Arabidopsis thaliana: one gene and its partners. The protein of the gene in region 2 interacts with the protein of the main gene of each other region in a biochemical or structural test. Each region holds a gene or a part of one and is shown on either strand. Other genes may lie near its edges. The genes, in order: SPK1, ROP2, FER and ROPGEF11.

Evidence for each region.
Region 1: the proteins of ROP2 (region 2) and SPK1 form a complex in vitro, tested with the Arabidopsis thaliana proteins (one study listed by BioGRID).
Region 3: the proteins of ROP2 (region 2) and FER form a complex in vitro, tested with the Arabidopsis thaliana proteins (one study listed by BioGRID).
Region 4: the proteins of ROP2 (region 2) and ROPGEF11 form a complex in vitro, tested with the Arabidopsis thaliana proteins (one study listed by BioGRID).

The regions. Positions count from the first base shown.
Region 1 is NC_003075.7:9,238,623-9,243,505, reverse strand, and holds the start of SPK1 (guanyl-nucleotide exchange factors;GTPase binding;GTP binding protein), read left to right. Parts: upstream 1-1,876; 5' UTR 1,877-1,909; intron 1,910-2,106; 5' UTR 2,107-2,445; coding exon 2,446-2,523; intron 2,524-2,599; coding exon 2,600-2,762; intron 2,763-2,842; coding exon 2,843-2,934; intron 2,935-3,026; coding exon 3,027-3,139; intron 3,140-3,229; coding exon 3,230-3,285; intron 3,286-3,378; coding exon 3,379-3,476; intron 3,477-3,605; coding exon 3,606-3,743; intron 3,744-3,985; coding exon 3,986-4,297; intron 4,298-4,883. Other genes in the region: CBL6 (calcineurin B-like protein 6), read left to right, coding at 34-104, 189-248, 320-428, 510-643, 735-847, 926-1,001. UniProt on the Arabidopsis thaliana protein: Guanine nucleotide exchange factor (GEF) for Rho and Rac. GEF proteins activate small GTPases by exchanging bound GDP for free GTP. Controls actin polymerization via the two heteromeric complexes WAVE and actin-related protein (ARP) 2/3.
Region 2 is NC_003070.9:6,964,863-6,969,510, reverse strand, and holds ROP2 (RHO-related protein from plants 2), read right to left. Parts: upstream 2,670-4,648; 5' UTR 2,289-2,669; coding exon 2,193-2,288; intron 1,895-2,192; coding exon 1,807-1,894; intron 1,722-1,806; coding exon 1,612-1,721; intron 1,531-1,611; coding exon 1,467-1,530; intron 1,319-1,466; coding exon 1,254-1,318; intron 1,172-1,253; coding exon 1,106-1,171; intron 1,007-1,105; coding exon 908-1,006; 3' UTR 502-907; downstream 1-501. Other genes in the region: AT1G20100 (DNA ligase-like protein), read left to right, coding at 1-197; SYTB (Calcium-dependent lipid-binding (CaLB domain) family protein), read right to left, coding at 4,599-4,648. UniProt on the Arabidopsis thaliana protein: Inactive GDP-bound Rho GTPases reside in the cytosol, are found in a complex with Rho GDP-dissociation inhibitors (Rho GDIs), and are released from the GDI protein in order to translocate to membranes upon activation.
Region 3 is NC_003074.8:19,117,054-19,122,646, forward strand, and holds FER (Malectin/receptor-like protein kinase family protein), read right to left. Parts: upstream 3,897-5,593; 5' UTR 3,727-3,896; intron 3,552-3,726; 5' UTR 3,512-3,551; coding exon 824-3,511; 3' UTR 531-823; downstream 1-530. Other genes in the region: AT3G51540 (mucin-5AC-like protein), read left to right, coding at 1-157; AT3G51560 (Disease resistance protein (TIR-NBS-LRR class) family), read right to left, coding at 4,755-5,375, 5,462-5,593. UniProt on the Arabidopsis thaliana protein: Receptor-like protein kinase that mediates the female control of male gamete delivery during fertilization, including growth cessation of compatible pollen tubes ensuring a reproductive isolation barriers, by regulating MLO7 subcellular polarization upon pollen tube perception in the female gametophyte synergids.
Region 4 is NC_003070.9:19,454,995-19,460,027, reverse strand, and holds ROPGEF11 (rop guanine nucleotide exchange factor-like protein), read left to right. Parts: upstream 1-1,958; 5' UTR 1,959-2,149; coding exon 2,150-2,459; intron 2,460-2,580; coding exon 2,581-2,697; intron 2,698-2,790; coding exon 2,791-3,020; intron 3,021-3,108; coding exon 3,109-3,372; intron 3,373-3,459; coding exon 3,460-3,780; intron 3,781-3,872; coding exon 3,873-4,262; 3' UTR 4,263-4,519; downstream 4,520-5,033. Other genes in the region: AT1G52245 (dynein light chain LC6, flagellar outer arm-like protein), read left to right, coding at 793-930, 1,038-1,184; PSAH2 (photosystem I subunit H2), read right to left, coding at 4,520-4,699, 4,776-4,902, 4,996-5,033. UniProt on the Arabidopsis thaliana protein: Guanine-nucleotide exchange factor (GEF) that acts as an activator of Rop (Rho of plants) GTPases by promoting the exchange of GDP for GTP.

The DNA of each region.
Region 1 (4,883 bases), on a different chromosome or scaffold from region 2:
AACCCCAACAATGGCTTTATGTACCAAATGCAGTTACAGTGAATGAGATTGAAGCTCTTTACGAACTGTTCAAGAGCATTAGCAAAAACGGGCTTATCGACAAGGTATGCAAGAATCCATAGTCGGACACGAGTACTATATCTCTCTGTTCCTCTACATTCACTAGGATCCTTTCAAATATATTGCAGGAACAATTTCAATTGGTACTATTCAAAATGAACACAACGAGAAGCCTTTTTGCTGATAGGGTAAATTAGATAGACTTGTAACTCACTTATATGAGTTTCCTTGCTGTACACTCATACTTCAAGCTTTGCAGGTGTTTGACTTGTTTGATACCAAGAATACTGGGATTCTAGATTTTGAAGCCTTTGCTCGTTCACTTTCGGTCTTTCACCCTAATGCTAAATTTGAGGATAAGATTGAGTGTAAGTGGTCGAGAGAGACTTGACCTTCTTTTTTTTTGTCATATCCAAACCTTGGATCAAGCTCATCTTTTGTCTCTGCAGTCTCTTTCAAGCTGTATGATCTGAATCAGCAAGGTTATATAAAGAGACAGGAGGTGAAGCAAATGGTTGTGCGGACTCTAGCTGAATCTGGCATGAACCTTTCTGATCATGTGATTGAGAGCATCATAGACAAGGTGGGTTTGGTTGATCTCCTCCATTGACACTAACTAGGATTCTCATATTTAATCTTTGACAAGAGATGTAAAAACTGATTGGTGTGTGTAGACATTTGAAGAAGCTGATACTAAACTGGACGGGAAGATTGATAAGGAAGAGTGGAGGAGTCTTGTGTTGCGCCACCCCTCTCTGTTACAGAACATGAGCCTTCAACATCTCAAGTAAGCTAGCCATGTTATTTGCCTTATTATCTTCTTCGTGCGGGACTAACATGTTTTTGTATGTTGTGTTTTGTGTAGAGACGTAACAAAGACGTTTCCAAATTTTGTATTTCACACTATAGTGACAGACACTCCTAGTGAGCTGGATGGATGATCAGGGATGTGAAGAAAGACCAAAACCCTTTACAAGATCATTCATACTTGATTCTTATCTTCTTCTCCATTACTCTATTACAACCCTCCTCTTTATTTTTAATAAATACGTTCTGAAAGCAGCATTACCTCACATGTTTGTGTATCCGCAAACTTGTTCGGTTTATCTTATCTGTTGGAGTGTGCAAATTGATTCTTTTACTCGGCATTAGTTTTATTTTGTTGCTTCTTCTTTCTTTCTATCTAAATTTGTTAGTTGGAGTAAAATCCGGACAACCATATTTTACAGGGAACCCAAATGGCGAGATAGTTTTAACATGAGAAAGGAAAGATTCATGTGAATGAGAAACTGGTTAACTTGAATCTCATAGATCATTGTATACTTGGACATTTTCCCAAGATTAGAACAAACAATACTAGATCTCTCGAAAATATCTTCATCACAGTTGCAAAGAGCCGTGGAGAACCCAACTCTTGAGCTCAAAATTGTATCAGCTAGTGACGTCAACCATATCGAATATGTCACGGACAAAATGGACGTATACGCCGTCGTTTCAATCAAAGACAACACAACTCAACAGCAACAAGCGGCCAAAACTCCCATTGATATATAACGGAGGTTCTAATCCGACTTGGAATCACACACCGTTAAGTTCTCCGTCAACGAGAGAGAAGCCACGAAGCCCAATAATTATGTTAACCAGTGTAACGTTTTTTCACCCACTTAATTTTTTGGCTGGGTCTGCCTAACATTCTAGGCACAAGTTAAAGAGGTGATCAATTTTTAGAAATTATAACCCTAATGCTAACATGAATGATATATAAAAAGGCCGCAATGGTAGACTATAATGGCAACAACTCTGAAACAATGGCTAAAGATTGGGATTCACCGATTCATAGATACCAAAGGTAACTATGAACTCGTTTACGGTTTATCTCAACATGAATCCGTAGAAACAAATCAACAATCCTAATTTCAATAAAGTGTGACAACTAAATTCTTTAGCCGTATACTTTCTAATTCCATTTTGTTTGGTATAATGAGAATTGGAATGACTTTTGGTGAAAATGGTTACTACTTACTCCAATTCTTTAAGTTGGTTCAGGTGAGGTATCATCGTCTTTGGTCGTCCCAATGATTGACTCTTTTGTTATTTAAAAAGAAAAAAGGGACAGTAGAGTTGGACTCTTGTTGGACTTACAGCTCCAGCTCGACTTTTGCTTTCCTCTTGAGTAATCTTCACTTTTTCTCCCAACTGCTTCCTCTCACGGATCTCTTCCTCTCTGCGTAAAGACAAAGATTCATCCTCCTCTCCTCCTTTAGCTCCCCCACTCAGATCTACTTACTACTCCAACAATGTCCTTTTCCCATTTCTAGGTTTTCACAAATCCCCAATTCTCTCTAATGGCGTAGTAGTACCTCACATTGTATTAGATCTATCTCAATGGAGAACAACAATCTTGGTCTTCGATTTCGTAAGCTACCTCGTCAGCCTCTTGCTCTCCCTAAGCTCGATCCTTTGGTAATTAAACTCTCCTCAACCTTTATTCGCGTTTTCTCTCTCTTTTCGTTAATGTGTTTCTTCTCTTTTGTTTCAGCTTGATGAGAATCTGGAACAATGGCCACATTTGAATCAATTGGTTCAATGTTATGGCACTGAATGGGTTAAAGATGTTAACAAATACGGTCACTATGAAAATATTCGACCTGATTCTTTCCAGACTCAGATTTTTGAAGGACCTGATACTGATACTGAGACTGGTAACTATGATGCATTGTTTATTTTTATTTTTTTTGCTTTTGTCAATTATTGTACATCAATTAACTCTCTGCTTCTTCAGAGATTCGTCTTGCTAGTGCCAGGAGTGCAACTATTGAGGAGGATGTTGCCAGTATTTCCGGGAGGCCGTTTTCTGATCCTGGATCCTCTAAGGTGTCTTCTTTTACTCACTTCATTGCTCTGTTATATATTTCTCATCCTTTGGTTCTTACTTTGAAGGTGTTGCTTTTTTTTTTTTTTTTCAGCATTTTGGGCAACCTCCTTTACCTGCTTATGAACCAGCTTTTGACTGGGAAAATGAAAGAGCTATGATTTTTGGTCAGAGAACTCCTGAATCTCCTGCAGCTAGCTATTCCAGGTTTTTTTTTTTTTGCATGTCACTATGCTTTACCTGATCTTATTATCTTTGTCTGATTTGTACTTCTGTTCCTCTTTATTATCTTCACAGTGGATTGAAGATCTCTGTCAGAGTTTTGTCTCTAGCTTTTCAGTCTGGCTTAGTTGGTGAGGATTCTGACTAACTGCTGTCTATTTTCTGTAATTTTAGTTATTTCAACTTCTTTAAGTTCCTTCTTTATTTCTCTTGCATCCCTGCAGAACCATTTTTTGGCTCGATTGCATTGTACAATCAAGAGAGGAAGGAGAAACTCTCTGAGGATTTTTATTTCCAGATTCAGCCGACGGAAATGCAGGATGTAAGTAACTGATTAGAGCCAACTGTCCTCTTTTTGCCTCTTCCCTTCTCATGATTATATAAAAGGTGATTTCAGTTTTTTCTCACGTCATTTTTGCGAAATTGCCGCCCCTTGTACATTTTCTTGCAGGCTAAACTTTCATCTGAAAATCGTGGAGTATTTTATCTAGATGCCCCATCAGCATCAGTTTGCCTGCTTATTCAATTAGAAAAAACAGCAACTGAGGAAGGAGGCGTTACATCATCTGTCTATTCCCGTAAAGAGCCTGTAATTTCCAAAATCCTGAATTTTCCCTTACTGTCTCTAGAGTCTCTTGCTCATGTGAATGCCTTGGTCTTAGAGATTGTGTCTTTCAACATTTATTTGGAGTAACTTGGAGATAGCCTGTGACTTATAATGGCATATATCATCTGTCTTTACTCTTTGTTTTGATATATATTTTAGAGTAGTCATGGTGATAGCTGGATCTTGATATAACAATTAGTAATTACCCTATTTATGTGAATCAGGTGCACTTAACTGAGAGGGAAAAGCAAAAGTTGCAGGTCTGGTCTCGCATTATGCCTTACCGAGAGTCTTTTGCTTGGGCAGTTGTTCCGCTTTTTGATAATAATCTCACCACAAACACTGGTGAATCTGCTTCCCCTAGCAGTCCTCTTGCTCCTAGTATGACTGCGTCAAGTTCCCATGATGGTGTTTATGAACCAATTGCAAAGATCACATCAGATGGAAAGCAAGGTTATTCAGGTGGAAGTTCTGTCGTAGTTGAAATATCTAATTTAAATAAAGTTAAAGAGAGCTACTCTGAAGAGTCCATTCAGGTAGGATGTTTCTTATCAAATCCCACAGTTTTTACCATGTTCTTTATGATTGTATTTACAGTGCTTTGAACTTCACATGGTGTGGAACATTTTTCATAGATTTTGTTCAATTTGAAAATCCTACTTGCTAGGTACACTTTGGTTGGGTTTTCCTGAACTGGATATGTATCTAAGCAAGTAGAGTTGCATGCACAGTCGATTGACAAAATACTTCTGTATTTAATTGATAACAGTTTTTTTTTGTTTTCTATTTGAATGAATCAATTTTGGTAGCATTTGACAATTAGGTCATGGTGTTTAATTCATAAGTTTTGAGGAATAGAAGTTCTTCATTTCTGTTTTCCCTTCTGAAGTGTAGTTAGTTATAAGTATATTACTAAATACATCACAAGAAAACAAGATTTCCGAGCTCTCTCTTCTTTTACTCACACAAAAAAATTCAGATCTGAATCGTGTTTGGTAACGTCATCAGACAAATAACTGGAATGCTTTTTATTGATATAACATCTTACTGTATATTGCTGCTTTTATCTGGAGGAAATACATATCTAAAATCTCTTTAAACTGTCTTGATCAGTTGGACATA
Region 2 (4,648 bases):
AAGATGATAGCAGCAGCGATGACTGGCTTTTTGGAACAAGTCGGAAAGAAAATGTTTCTTCTGCCAAGTCTTCTTATAAGACTGATGAAGACACGATCATGAGCTTGCAGACGTCAAGAGATTGTTCCTCTTTGCCTAGAGCTATGTTATTGTCTGAAGTTGGAATTTTTTCATTACCATATACTGTCCCGTTTTAGGTCCCATATTGTTTTGTTCTTTCTCAGCTTAGCCTTAGGCCTTAGCTTTGTACAGTTATCATTGTAACAATCACAGTGATCTATGATACTTGAACGATCTCTGTATTTTTGACACTAATCAAAAATCATGGTTTCCACTTACTAAACTATCGTCTACATGATTTTTGTCAACTGGAAGTTTTTGGTTGAATTGATCAATGCGATTGCAAAAGCTGGCTACTTTTAAATAAGCAATTTCTTGCAAGAAGTTGACTGGTTTAGCCGTTCCCCAGTTTAACTTCTTGCTTAGGCAGCTGGAGAAAGATCTCTTTAAGCATGATGCTTGGTAAGATCACATGAATATACATCTTGTGGGAAAGAAGCAGAAAACAAGAGCTCTTAAAAACAAAATAAACGTTGCAAATATTAATTAGATTCATTTGTTAATACAAAATGATCCTCAAGAACAAAAGAGAAGAGAGACAGAGATTAGTCTACATAGCAAGAGTACAACACACGGTCTCTTAGTCTGTGGACTCGAAAGATTCACCAGCAAAGAGTAAAAGACACAACAACAACAAAGCTCGTTTTAGCAACTATACAAAAAAGCTACTAGAAATGTCTCCCTTCACGTCGAAATTATCATATTAAAATGGGCCGAATCAAATAGTTGAAATCATCTTCTGCTTCTTTCTTTAGTTGGTTTTACCTAGTCTTAGAGGTTTTTCTTATCACAAGAACGCGCAACGGTTCTTATTCTTTTTCTTCTTCTTCTGCTTTGGTGGCTGAAGCACCACTTTTATAGCTGCATCAAACACTGCCTTCACGTTCTGCAGAAACACCAAAAGGAAAGAAATAAAGCTCACCCTCTTGATAAGATCAAATATTGCAAACAGTGAGGAACAGGACAAGCGATTTGTTATGTATACCTGCTGTGTCTTTGAACTACATTCAATGTAGACAGCAGATCCAATCAGTTTCTTCAGTTCCTCTCCCTGCATCATTCAAAACAACATCAGACAATTCTATTAAGAACTGGCAATCATTGCAAGACTATTCGTTTAAAAGGATATGTACCTGGTTTGTAGTAATTGGCACAGCACCAGGATGATCTATAAAGAATTGCTTGTCATCTCGAAGATCTGCAGCAAATACCAGTGACTTAACAATCAAATTTTGCAAGAAAACTTAACAACTTCGTTGGTGTCACAAGGCTTGTAGGAACGTAACCACAGATCTTTCAGTCAAAAAAATAGCATGATCAGTTCAATAGGGAAAGTGTGTGATTACCGAGTTTTGTCCCAACAAGGATAATGGGAACACCAGGAGCATAATGCCTGAGCTCAGGAATCCACTGAGAGAGGAGGAACGAAATCAAATAAGATCACTCATCAACACAAACTGTATAGGATTTATCAGCAAAAGAGAGACAAACCTTCTTGGCTATATTCTCATAGCTAGCCTTGCTAATAAGAGAGAAAGCAAGAATGAAAACATCAGCACCACGGTAACTCAAAGGTCGTAACCTGTTGTAGTCCTCTTGACCTGTTAACAAACCCCACAAACACAAACTAAGTCAAAAACAACCGAAACAAAAGGAAAATCCCAAACGGTGAAACGAAAGAATTACCAGCAGTATCCCACAATCCAAGATTGACAGTGTTGCCATCAACAACCACATTAGCACTGAAGTTGTCGAAAACAGTTGGCACATAATCCTGAAACACCAATCACAAGTCACAGATTTACACCTTATAATCAAAATCATCCTTTATAAAAAGCAAAAACAAAACACAGTAGCTTCAAGATCAATACTTTGGCCTAGATTCTCAAAGTCTTAAAACAAAAAAAGTTGTAACGAAATTGATCAATTTCTAGTATACAGCTCCATGACCTAAAATCTACACCTGAATCCAATTTGCAAAAACCTTGCAGATCACTAATCTACTCTTGCAACGAGCTCAACAAAAAAATAAGAAACCGAAGAGATATTGAAATAGGAGAGGAAAGATTTACAGTAGGAAAAGTATTGCTAGTGTAAGAAATGAGCATGCAAGTTTTTCCGACGGCACCATCTCCGACGGTCACACACTTTATAAACCTTGACGCCATCTCTGCCGCAAGATCGGAAACAAACAAAAAAGCCCTTAAAATCAATCCTCTTTTGTGGTTGCTTCTTCCTCAAAACCTCGACATTTCTAGCTCGCCAATCAAATTCGAGCTCTAAAAGCTTGTGAATCTGAGAATCACCCAAATTCGAAAAAGAATCGAAGAGAGAAGGAAAAGAAGAAGAAGAAGGTTGATTTGGCGGTTGATAGATGACTTTGAGAGGAGCCTATAGGAGGAGGGGACTAGTAGAAAAACAACAACTCTGAGACAGCTAAGAGAACAGCACCAAACACCTCCTTATCATATACACTCACTCCCCTTTTATTTATATTATACTTTTTATTTTCACCTCTATTTTTCTTTTTTCAAAATTTTGAAAGTCTCTTTTCTTTTATGTCACGGATTTTGAATTTTGAAATGGAGAAGATCTGTCAGTTTTTTTTAAACAACAAGAAAAATACAATTGTCATGAATGTTTTTGTATTATCTCTTTGGTTTCTCAACAGTTTTTAAATGTTTTTAATAATATATTTCGTTTAACACTTTTTTATTGTGATACATATTTTCATTGTTGTTTTGAGTTAAAATTGTCTCTTAAATTTGGACTAAATCATTGACATGAAGCCTAGAGAAATCTTAGTAAGGTAATATTTTGAACTATCATATATTGTCTGAACAATGCAAGTTTCAAAATCCTAGTGTGTTGTGTCTTTGGACTTGCACTGCCACTTTGATTCTTACTGGCATGAGACTTATCCAGTTTTGAGCAGTTTTCCATAACATTCTTTTTGTTCACAACTTTATTAAAACATAGCTAACGAAGTTTTGATTATCAATATTAGCAGTAAACGAAGTCGCTTATCTGTCTAATCCTCTTGGTACCTACCAAAACAAGATAAGAATTCCATAGAAGTTTATCATTTCACCAAAACAACAACTAAAAGTTGTTATCTTACTTAGTTTAACCATGTATCGATTATTTTACAAATAGTAATTGGTAAAATATTATACCGTCTCAAAACTATAGATTTTCTTCAAATAAAAACTTTCTTTAGCTAGCGAATTTGAATCCGCATATCCAGTTATAAGACTCCCATTCACAACATCTTCTACAACTGCCAGTTCTCTCGTATGTAATGTATCAAGGGAGGTAAATTCAAATGATCTAAGATAGACTTTATAGTATAGCAAAAAAAAAAAAAAAATGGCATACGAGAGAGACTTAAGCAAAATACGAAGAGGCATGAATGAAATCTTTAATCATTGGATTTGGCAACTCTCACTCATCAAGAACGTGCCGGCACGATTCATAAATGTCTTATTTATGATGTTTTTACTTATTTTCTCTTTTCGATTCCCCTCGGATTACGAAACATAGGCGACTAGAGTCCAATGGGACGTGCCCAACTCTAACTAAATCAATCCACTAACGATCCACCACGTCACTGATTGTCCCATCACCTAATCATAATCACACCAGACGGTAGCTTCTTATAATTATTTGTCAAACTTGATGAATTAGTAGCTAATTGCCATCATGTGTTATTTTCAACTTTTTCATTCCATAAGACTATATATATATATATATATTGCTGACCAAAAAAGAAATTGCTTATATTGATTATATGCTTACTGAGTTTAATAATGAAAATTAGAAATGTAATAAAGTTATCCACAAATATTTATCAAATGACCGTGATAAATCGTACAAAATTATGTGTTAATTTAACCACTCATAATTTTTTTAATAAACATTTATCATGTGGATTTGGATTTAAATAATCACATTCAATGATAGTAGCACAAACCACTAAATTGTACACGAAAAGTATGAATTAACCAAATCATGATATCAAAGAAGTTAAGCTTAGTAGCTTACCAACTATTCAGTATTCACCAACCAGTGACCAATCTCTCTTTATTAACTAACTTCACTTCTTTTCTGTTCAAAAATCTTTTTTCCTTTTTGATAGAATAATTCAATTACTGACCAGAATTCTCTAAGAAATAGATGAAAAAGACAATCCATAATCACTATTGCCATAATCCAATAAGCTGCAAAATAATTCAGAAACGACAAAAAAAACTATCAGAAAATGTCACAAGAAATAAACCAAAAGGTCCAAACAATAAAATCCATATGAACTATAAGGCTTATACGTGGCCCATTATACTGTGTAACCCATTATTCTTCGAATCGAGCCATAGCAACCAACATGCAACAAATATAGAAGTTTTACGTACATAGGAAGGAAGGCAAACAAAAAGTGTTGTTTCGTGAACCCTAAGAGAAGAAAACACGAACCTTTGAAGTCAAGAAGAATTTCTCCACTGAAGCTCAATCTGAATACGACCATTCTTGG
Region 3 (5,593 bases), on a different chromosome or scaffold from region 2:
AGAGAACAAGAACGATAGTGCTCGTTACGACGCACTCTTGAATGTTAAAGATGTCAAGGATACAAACTGGCTACTTAACATTGATGATGAATCTCCTCAATCTCTCATCTTCGACAATGCTTTTGACTCTCCTCCTGATCTATTCTCTCCTCTCTGAGACTCTGACTCCTTTTGAGTTTTCTTTCCTGTTTGTTGTAGTTAAAAACAAGAGAGCTGCTTGGAAAAATAATCCTGTTTCACTCTTTTTAAATTCTTATGCAATCAAGAGAAAAACATTACACATAGTTCTTCTACTCGTTGTTTTTTTCTTTCAAAGTGTTTGTTTGTATTGATCAGCAGAAATATACAACTTTGACCCTTCTTGTTTAAATCAAAATATTTGCAAGAAAAGACACTATTGGTAGGATTCCGTTAAAATGCGTCTATATAGTAAAACAGAGAAGTGATTGATGTACTTCCGTTTATGTTCATAAGAGTACGACTTTGTAATAAATGGGTACTAGTTTGTTCATAAGAGTACGACGTGTAATAGAGTAAAGATGCAACAATTACCAAAAACGTTATAGATAACAAACCAAATAGTACATTGACGCGATTCATGTTTAATGTTTTTGTAGAAAGAAGAAAAAAAAATACATTATTTTTTACACTCTCCATCGTGGCATCAAATACACAAATCCAAAATTCTAAATAAATAACAGCAAAGAGAATAATAATAAATAGTTAAGAGGAAAAAAAATATAAAAAAGAGAAACGAACCGGTCTCCTTTGGATGGAGCCGGTTTAGAAAGGTAGTAGTGTTGTACCGTGTTATAAGACTTCTCTAACGTCCCTTTGGATTCATGATCTGAGAAAACACAGCACTTGGAGTGAGTCCATCTGAATCTTCGCTGGCCAAACTCCTACCACCGATGCTCATATCTATTCCACTGCTCCTCGAGTCCGTCACATTCCCTTCATACACATCAGAACTCTTGTCGTTCTTTCCTTTACAGTTTCCATCATCGTACTTAATCTCATCCATGTCCATGTCACCGCATACTCCTTTTCCGTTCTCTTCTGCGCTTTCCTGGAGCTGCAACGCAAATTCTAAGTTCCACAGAACATCTCCCATTGATGGTCTCTCAATGCCCTGGTCTAGAACACACTTCATCGCGGTTTCAGCAAACTTTTTGAAGCATTCTGGTGTGATCTTGCCCTTGAGGTAGGGATCAACGATTTGATCTAGCATGCCTTTCTTGTAGCAGTATGGTGCCCACTCAGCTAAGCTCACTTGTTCCTTTGCAAGTGTTGGGTTCAAGGCTGGACGAGCGCATAGAGCTTCGAATAGAACAACGCCAAAGGAGTAGACATCGGATTTCTCAGTCAGTTGCTGCCGTCTGAAATACTCTGGGTCAAGATAACCGAAACTTCCTTTCACAACTGTGCTTACGTGTGTGTGGTCTAGTGTAGGACCAGTCTTCGATAGACCAAAATCAGAGACCTTGGCCACCCATTTCTCATCCAATAGAATGTTTGTTGTCTTCACATCTCTATGGATGATTGTGTGTTTTGCACCAGTGTGTAGATAGTGTAAACCTCGGGCTGCTCCAATGCATATCTCAAGACGTTGCTTCCATGGAAGAGAAGGATTCTGGGTTTTGTAGAGATGCTCCCTCATTGTACCATGAGCCATGTAATCATAGACTAAGATCATTTCGCAGTTCTCTTCACAGTATCCAATCAAGGACACAAGATGACGATGTCTAAGCTTTGAAAGCATTTCAATCTCAGTCTGGAACTCATGTACACCTTGCTCGGACATTGGGTTGCCTCTCTTGATGGCTACCTTTGTAGTTCCGCCATCAATCTCTCCTCTGTAAACCTTGCCGAAACCACCAACACCAAGCACCCGGGACTCATCAAAGTTTTTAGTGGCAGCTTTGATCTCAGCAAACGAGAAGTGACGGCAAAGATTTGACGGAAGGGACGAGGCATAACTTCCTGTTGTGTTTGTCTTCGCCGAGCCAGCAGAATGTGAGTTTCCATACAGAGATAGTGGAAGCCACCCTGATGTTGCATCACTAGCAGGCTGGTAATCACCACGCTTACGTCTGCGGTAAGCACCAAACACACAAAACCCAATGATAAGGGCCAGAACAACTGCACCACTGGCTGCGCCTGCAATAATAGCCGTATTGCTTTTCGATTTCCTAGTAGTCGGGCGTAGGACTTTAGATGGATCAGCAGTCACCTGTGGACCAGGTATAGGATTGGTACCAGCCAGATTACCATCAGAAGTATTCATCTTGAATATCTCCACTCCATTAAGAAGAGAATCATAATACTCCGGCTTGTTAACTGGGTTAGGATGAAGAGCAAGCCACAAATCTTGCTGTCCATTTCCCTCTGGAGGATTCACCACGTAATCCTTGTGAAACGGAACCCCGTTTGAACTAGTCCAAGCAATCACATCAGCTTCAGGCTCAGCAGTTTGATTGTTGAGGTAGATTGTAAACACCCGTTGGTTGATCTTAGTGATATTCGAAGAAACCTCACAGAAATGAAGTCTAACAAGGTAAGTGAAACCAGAGTCAATGCTGAAAATCCAAGTAAGATTGTAGTTGAGATTGATCTGAGCTGTTGGACCCATAGACCTCGCGGTTGAATAAACATCCACAGGAGCAACATAAGTAGGAGTCCCCGTAGGATACTTAATCGTCATGTTGGGATCAGCAGTCTCTGGAATACCAAGTCCTGCACCAAATATATAAGGCTGATCATCATACCACGACCTATACAAACCCGTATCCGCGGAAGGCGAGATATCATTCCCTCCAACATTGAGCCTATACACATTCTCAAGAGCAGTACTGTTATCAATAGTAACAGAGCCAGATGATCCAACCATAGTCAAAGTCCCATCAGTACTACTATACATATCAGGCATTGAAGTAACCTCAATCCCATTAACAAACGCATACGCATTAGACGGAGCTGATTCCGGTGTAAACGTCATGTTCAACGTTCCACCTTCAACGTTGACAACAAACTCCTTGATGATGAAAGCGTAAGTCAACGCCTCCGCCGTCTGAGAAGCACTGAAATTCTTGAGAAGAGTGTAAGGACCAAAGGAGACGGAGAATAACGAGTTGGTAGCGTTGAGACCGTCGTACGAGTTTGGGTAGAAGTAGAGACGCACGAATTTACGACCTGATGCTACAGGGAAAGTGTAAGTGAAAGGAGATCGGAAAACTCTCGCCGTCATGTAAGGAACTTCGGGAACGGAAGGATCTTGTGTTAACGCTGGTGATGTTTTAGAGTCTTCAGAGGAAGATGATAAGAATTTTGATTTGACATCGGAGATCCATATACGGTTATCTGTGTCGGTTAGATTAGAAGCACCACCACCGCAATTCAATAGGATTTTCTCTGTTGGAGAGTAATCAGCAGCTGAGATTAAAGTTGCTGCAGATATGAGAAGAAGAAGAAGAAGAAGAGAGAGACGGAATCGTCCCTCTGTGATCTTCATCGATCAAGAGCACTTCTCCGGGAAGATCTTCTTCTCAGATCTATCAAACGAAAGAAAATCGAAACTATAAACTTCACAGATCTAAAAATGGAAAGTGCTAGAGGTACATGTTCGTTTGGTTACGAAAATTGAGCTTAAGAAACAGATGAAATTGAAGTTTGAATACAGTAGTAAGGGAGAGTGAAGTGAGGAAGATGATGATGATGATTACATACCTGAAGAATCGGGGAAGAAACCCTAAGCGATGAAATCGGAGAGAGTTTTTGGAGAAGACAGAGATATTTTGGGGGAGAGAGAGAGAAAATCAATTAATGAGTGGAGAGGTAAGTATAGTCAAGACGACGACAAAACGGACAAGCATTGTTGCTTCCCTCTACGCGTTAACGTTATTTTAATTTCAATAAGATTAAATTAAGATATAGTTATCGGGTTTAATTAATTGAAGCCGGCTTGAAGGTGGGTGAAGTGACGATAATGACCTTTGAGTATCAACAGCTGGAATTATATATGTCTTGACCATTCGAAGGATAATGTTGATTGGTATGGTTTGGATGACAGTTCATAAAATGTGAGAGAGTAAATCCATTAAACTAAAGAAAAGACAAGAGAATTTTATGAAACGCGTATTTTTGTGTGCGGTGGTGACTGCTCGTGGCTGAGCTGGTACTCTATATTATACTATAAAGGGAAAGAATGGGGCCTGCTTTGATAATAACTCGTTAGTTAGTTAGGATAGTTTACGTAATCATGGGCTTTTTACTCTGATTTCAGTTTATCTCCTATGGCCCAGTTATAAGTGGGCCTTATCTAACGTGCACATGATATATGTTTATGACAATCGGCGTAGCCTCCTTTTGATCGATCATGTCTAAGGTAAGGAGTAACCTTGATCTCCGATGTCAAATCCAAGTAACCTTGAATACAAATAAACCGTGGTTAAGGCCGAACGTGTGCAATTTTTTTGGTCTACACCTTCTTGATTCAAAACAGAGTTTGTGATCCTTGTTTTCTCAGTCTTTCAAAATAAAATAAAACTTTAAACCATTACATCAAACATGCACTAAATATTTACATTAACATATCATTAATTCTCTTTCAGACAACACATTTTTTTTTGTTTATGCCAATTTTAAATAATAAAAATTACATTTCAAACATACATGTTTCTGCTACTTCGCATTTGGGCACGCATGAGACGAGTCACATACATACACTCTTCCCAGTTCCCACTCTTAACTTTTCTTCACTCTAGGCAAACACAACCACCAAACCTACCAACTCGCTTAAATCGAAGCTTACCAATCACACTTGAAAGCTTCGGAGAATGATTCTTACTTAAACTCATATCCTTACTTGCATTTGTTACACTCAGACTCGCCGCACCAGTTGCAGCTGTTATAACACAAACATCACATTCTGTCACCATGCAATTACCGCCTAAGACCTTGTTTCTTCCATTTACTGCTTGGAATTCAAATTCAACGTGATCAGCCATTATATTTGGTTTGTTTCCCTCACCACCACCTCGATGCATTTCGGCATCCTCATAAAACACAAACATGTGATCCCTTTGAACCTCAGGAGCTTCTCTCGGAGCCCAACACCTAAACACTTTCTCTGCTTTACCAGTGACCACCCTTTTCTTTGTCTTCCATCTGCTTACGCACCTAACGCCAAGCCCAGCGTTGTTGTGACTATCATCCGAAAACGATACTACAACGAAGATAGCAAACCCCAAGAGTGTCTTTCGCAGGGAAGGAGTTATCTCTATCGTTGCAAATGAACCTGCCCGCAAATTATAAGAGGTTGCCTGATCTGCTCCTGCAGGCCCGCAAATGCTGAATGCAAGTGCTTTGATGAGTTCCTGGTCCCAACAAGAAAAAGGAAAATTACATATACGCTAAAGTATGTATGAGTGAGAAAGAAGGGACATGAGAACGAGAGAGTTACCTGCTGATGTTCGTTGCCAATGCTTGCTACTTTAGCCAGGCCTTTTACAACTCGTTTTCTAGCCACTTTTGGAGACTTATTGAAGCAATCGCTGAAGGTGTAATGACTAGGAAACTGCTCAAATCCCCAAGA
Region 4 (5,033 bases), about 12 Mb from region 2:
GTTTTCTATCCAAAACTCCAATGGGCATAAAAAGATTAAACACACCATTTGCATTAAAAAGTTGAGAATTCTTCAAGAACTAGCATAGGTTGCTAGCTAGATCAATGGGTCCTAAACCTTCTTAATGGGCTTATAAATCCCAACTGTTACACCGACATATTTACGAGTTTTGTGGAAGGCTTAGCTAATTACATTTTTTTTCTTTCACATGTTAGCTATTTAACTAATTAATTATGCACCTCTCCATCGTTATCCATTAAACGTCAAAGACAAAAAATACTTGGACACACGTAAGAGAGAGACACATATATCTGCTCAAATGAGTCATTACACCTTATTTTATTATACTTTTTCTTAACTGTCTTGTTCCTTTTTTTAGTCTTCAAATTATCAACTTTGTTTCTTTGATCAGCTTTGTCATCTTGAAATTATCAACGTTTTGACTAAATTTAAAGAACAGTTGTGTTCGTTCGTGCCATTCTTTTGAATGCTTATACGTACATTTCTTCTTGAAAAGACTTTGAATCCAAGAACCCGTGAGGAAGTAATCCCAGTGAAGAGAAGACGACAAAGAAAAAGGTTAGGCACATTTTCCCATATTTTTCCTCAAAGAGGAGACATTATTTATCTTTGTATGGGTTTTCTTGATAAAGATTAGATATTGAAGGAATCTTTTTTTCATTTTGTGTCTTTTAGGAGCCTATAAAGATCCAAAGCTTCCCTTGTCTTTAGTTCTCATCAAAAAAATTGAAAAACGTTTGGAGTTATTGAGAGAGAGAGAGATAGAGAAAGATGTTGGAAGGCAAAGCAATGGTGGAAGATTCAGACATGCCAGTGAAGATGCAGATGCAAGCTATGGCATTTGCTTCTCAAGCTCTTGACCTTTTTGATGTCTTTGACTGTAAATCCATTGCTGGTCACATCAAGAAGGTATTAGTAATGATTTTCTTCAATTCTATTTATAAGTCATAAATACATCATTATCATCTATATATAACTACTTGGTTAATTTTGTTTGTTCTATAATGAATTTTCAGGAGTTTGATGAGAGATATGGGAGTGGATGGCAATGTGTGGTGGGATCAAATTTTGGGTGTTTCTTCACACATTCTAAAGGGACTTTTATCTATTTTCAATTGGAGACACTTAAGTTCCTCATCTTTAAAGGCGCTTCTACTCCTTAATTACACTACCCTAATCATGGGGATGTTTTTTTTTCCTTTTTCTTTTGCTTCTATGAAAATCTGAGAAAAAAAAATCTTGCTAAGACTATCAAGATCTTTAGCTTTGTTTGAATTCTAAGTTTGTAAATAGGCCCAAGCTAAGAGAGGAAGTTGATTTCAATGATGTAAGATTTTTCATTTTTACAAGTGTTTGCTTTTGTGATCAATAAAAGTGAAATGCAGAAGATTTTTTATATTTATATTCTTTTAGTTGAGATGCAAACAATTATAATTGCCCAGCCACAAATAGAGAATTTCTTAGACTGACTTAGACTAATCTATCATTAGCATAATATAAATTTATTTTAAACTTTTACTTTGATAGAAATTCAGAGAGAGGTCAAAATTGAGGAAAACATTATCATCCATAATCCTTAATTTAGTTGAGAAACTGAGATTTTTTTAATACAACAAGACATAAACAAAAATGATATTACAGATAATGTCAGTAACATGTCCTCCCTACATCTCAATGTTTGATTTAAAGAAAAAGATTGAGATTTTTTTTATGTGTGTGGAGAAATTCAACTTTCAAATAACGTGCAGCCCACATTCCACCAAGTATCAATTTATAAATAGTAAAACATTTCAAGAAAATTAAAAATATCCTCTTATTTTTTTCCCCTGAAGAATCTGACCAAATTCACTACTTGTTTATGGTTATGGACAACGAATCATAATAGTTACTAAAATAATCAGGTTAAAACTAAAACCATTAACAGAAGTCAAATGATGGTGTTCTGTATTTGCTAAGTCTGAAATTAAAATCAAACACCGTTTTTTGGTTAATTAAGTTTGTTTTTTCTTCATGATCTCCTAAAACTCCTCTTTATTACACGAAGAGGAGAACAAATGGAGATTAAAAAGAATTTTCAAATCATAGAAATCTTTTCATTTTTTTTATTGTTTTGATTAACTAGTAATTAATGGTAAAAGCAATGGAGCAAGAACAAGAGACTTACAAATCAAGATTGTTTCATTTCAAGAACATGAACGAAAACTCAGCTTCAAGACATGTTAAAAGCTGGAGCTCAGATTGTGCAATGAGAATGGATGGTTCTGACAATTTGGATGATGATGATAATGACATGATGATGTTTAGGAGTCAACCCGGAAAATGTGGCAGCGTTGACCGACCTTCTTTGCCTATAGGCGGAGTAACGCCTAATCGCAATGACAAGCTTCCGAGAGTCTCTTCATCGGATTCCATGGAGGCACTAATAATATTGCAAGCAGGTAAAATCTAATGAACTGGCTCATATCTTCTAGGTTTCTTGGATTGCAAGTTAGGGGCAAAGTACTAATCTTGGATTATAAGTTAGGGCAAAAACTAAAGTATATGTTGTTGTTATTACAGCAATGGAGCAAATGAAAGAGAAATTTTCGAAATTGCTTCTTGGAGAAGATATGTCAGGAGGAGGAAAAGGTGTTTCATCGGCTTTGGCTTTATCTAACGCCATTACCAATCTCGCAGGTAAGATCTTTTCCCAAATCTTTCAGTTCCATGGAAATTTTCAATTTTATCACCAATTTGATGTTAAGTTCTGTAATTTTTTTGTTGTTGCAGCGTCTGCGTTTGGAGAACAACGGCGTTTAGAGCCAATGGCGGTGGATAGAAAAACGCGTTGGAGGAGAGAAATTGGATGGCTTATCTCTGTGGCTGATTATATAGTTGAATTCGCTCCAACACAACAAACAAACAAAGATGGTACTTCAATGGAAGTCATGTCAACAAGACAAAGAACAGATCTTCTCTGTAACATCCCTGCACTTAAGAAACTCGATGCTATGCTTCTCGTAAGAAGAACAAACAACAACAGCACAAAATATACTAATCAAAGGCTGTTAAATAATTAATCTCACATTTATAATCATTCTCTTGCAGGATTGTCTTGATAAATTCAAGGATCAGGATGAGTTTTATTATGTTAAAAAAGATTCTCCTGATTCTTGCGAGACAAGGAACGATGAGAAATGGTGGTTACCGGCAGTAAAAGTCCCACCTAACGGCCTCTCAGAGATATCAAGAAGGTTTCTACAGAGCCAGAAGGAATGTGTGAATCAAGTCCTTAAAGCTGCAATGGCGATAAACGCTCAAGTTCTGTCTGAAATGGAGATTCCTGAAAGCTACCTTGAGTCACTTCCTAAGGTTATTTAATAAACACATAAAAACATTCATCAAGAATCTGTTATTGATCTAGTCCTTATCGATGTTTTCGTGTGTTGTTGAGAACAGAATGGGAGAGCTAGCTTGGGAGATGTGATATACAGAATGATAACAGTAGAGATGTTTGATGCAGATCAATTCCTAATTGAAATGGATTTATCATCTGAGCACAAGATTCTTGATCTAAAGAACAGAATCGAAGCATCGATTGTGATATGGAAGAGGAAAATGGTGCAGAAGGACACAAAGTCTCCTTGGGGATCAACAGTGAGTATTGAGAAAAGAGAACAGTTTGAAGAAAGAGCTGAAACCATCTTGCTACTATTAAAACAAGGGTTTCCCGGAATCTCACAGTCCTCGCTCGATATCAGCAAGATTCAATTCAACAGAGTAATTTAAAACTCTTAACTTCCAAATACATTTTGATTGTGTTTTCTCTATGGTCATGAGAAAATCTCATTATTGGATAATTGTTGTTGCAGGATGTAGGACTTGCGATATTGGAGAGTTATTCAAGAGTGCTTGAGAGTTTAGCTCACACCGTGATGTCGAGAATAGAAGACGTGCTTTACGCTGATCAGCTTACTCAAGAACCTACAAATAATGCACCTTCTAAGAACAGATATAGCTTGAAGGAGAATGAGAAACTAAGAGAGGAAAGACTAAGTTTCACAGAGGATATGGCTTCAGGAACACTTTCTGATGTTATGCAATGGGGTAACAAAAACAATGAAATGAAGAAAGAAAGCTTTTTCGGAGATAGAGAGAAACCGTTGTTGTCGAAAGTCACAGGTATAATGACTAACAACAAGAAGAGTTCTTATCTTGATAATCTTGGAGCTATGAGGAGTCCAACCGCAAGATACTCCTGAGAGAAACCGGTTTCTTTTTTCCGTTCTTGTTAAATTAGGGCTTCTTACTGCATTTTCAATCTGCTTAAAGATTCCACAAAATGCACCATTGTGTGTTGTAGCAGACTTGAAATGCAATTTCATTGATTCATCATAACTGATTTTCAGAATCACTAGCTTACAAAGCAATTAACACAACACAGTACAATATACATAAATAGGGTTCATAGAATTGGGGAGAAAGTTTCTGACTTTTTGAAAGATTTTAGAAAGCTAATTTAAAGCTTGCCGCGAGGACCGAGCTTAGGTGGCTCTTGAGGACCTCTCTTAATCGGAAGAACATCGCCGGTAGAGTTCGCACTAACATATGTAAGCAAAGAGCCTCCTCCAAGAATCAAAAATTTGAGAAGCAAACCTCTCTTTGTGAAAGGAGCAGCAAATGTCTCAAAGAACTTGCTCTGCAAGCAACATAATCACAAAGTCTTAGAATTTGAAGAAGCATATAGATCTAAAGATTTAAGAGTGTACAAAAACCTGAAGTGGGTTATAAGGAGAAGGAGCATCAGATCCATACACATCCCATTGTCCTGTTGTGTTACCCAAATCTTCTAAATCAAAGTATACACTTTTGTCTCCATACTTAGCCACCACAGCACCAGCTCTACACAAACAATCAAAAGTAACATCCTTTCTTTAATACCAATCCTCATCAATGTCAATCCAAGATTCCAAATTTCAAAGCTTTAAACTTTACCTGGTGGATTTGGTTTTGAAGCTTTGGCGAGAAGGTTT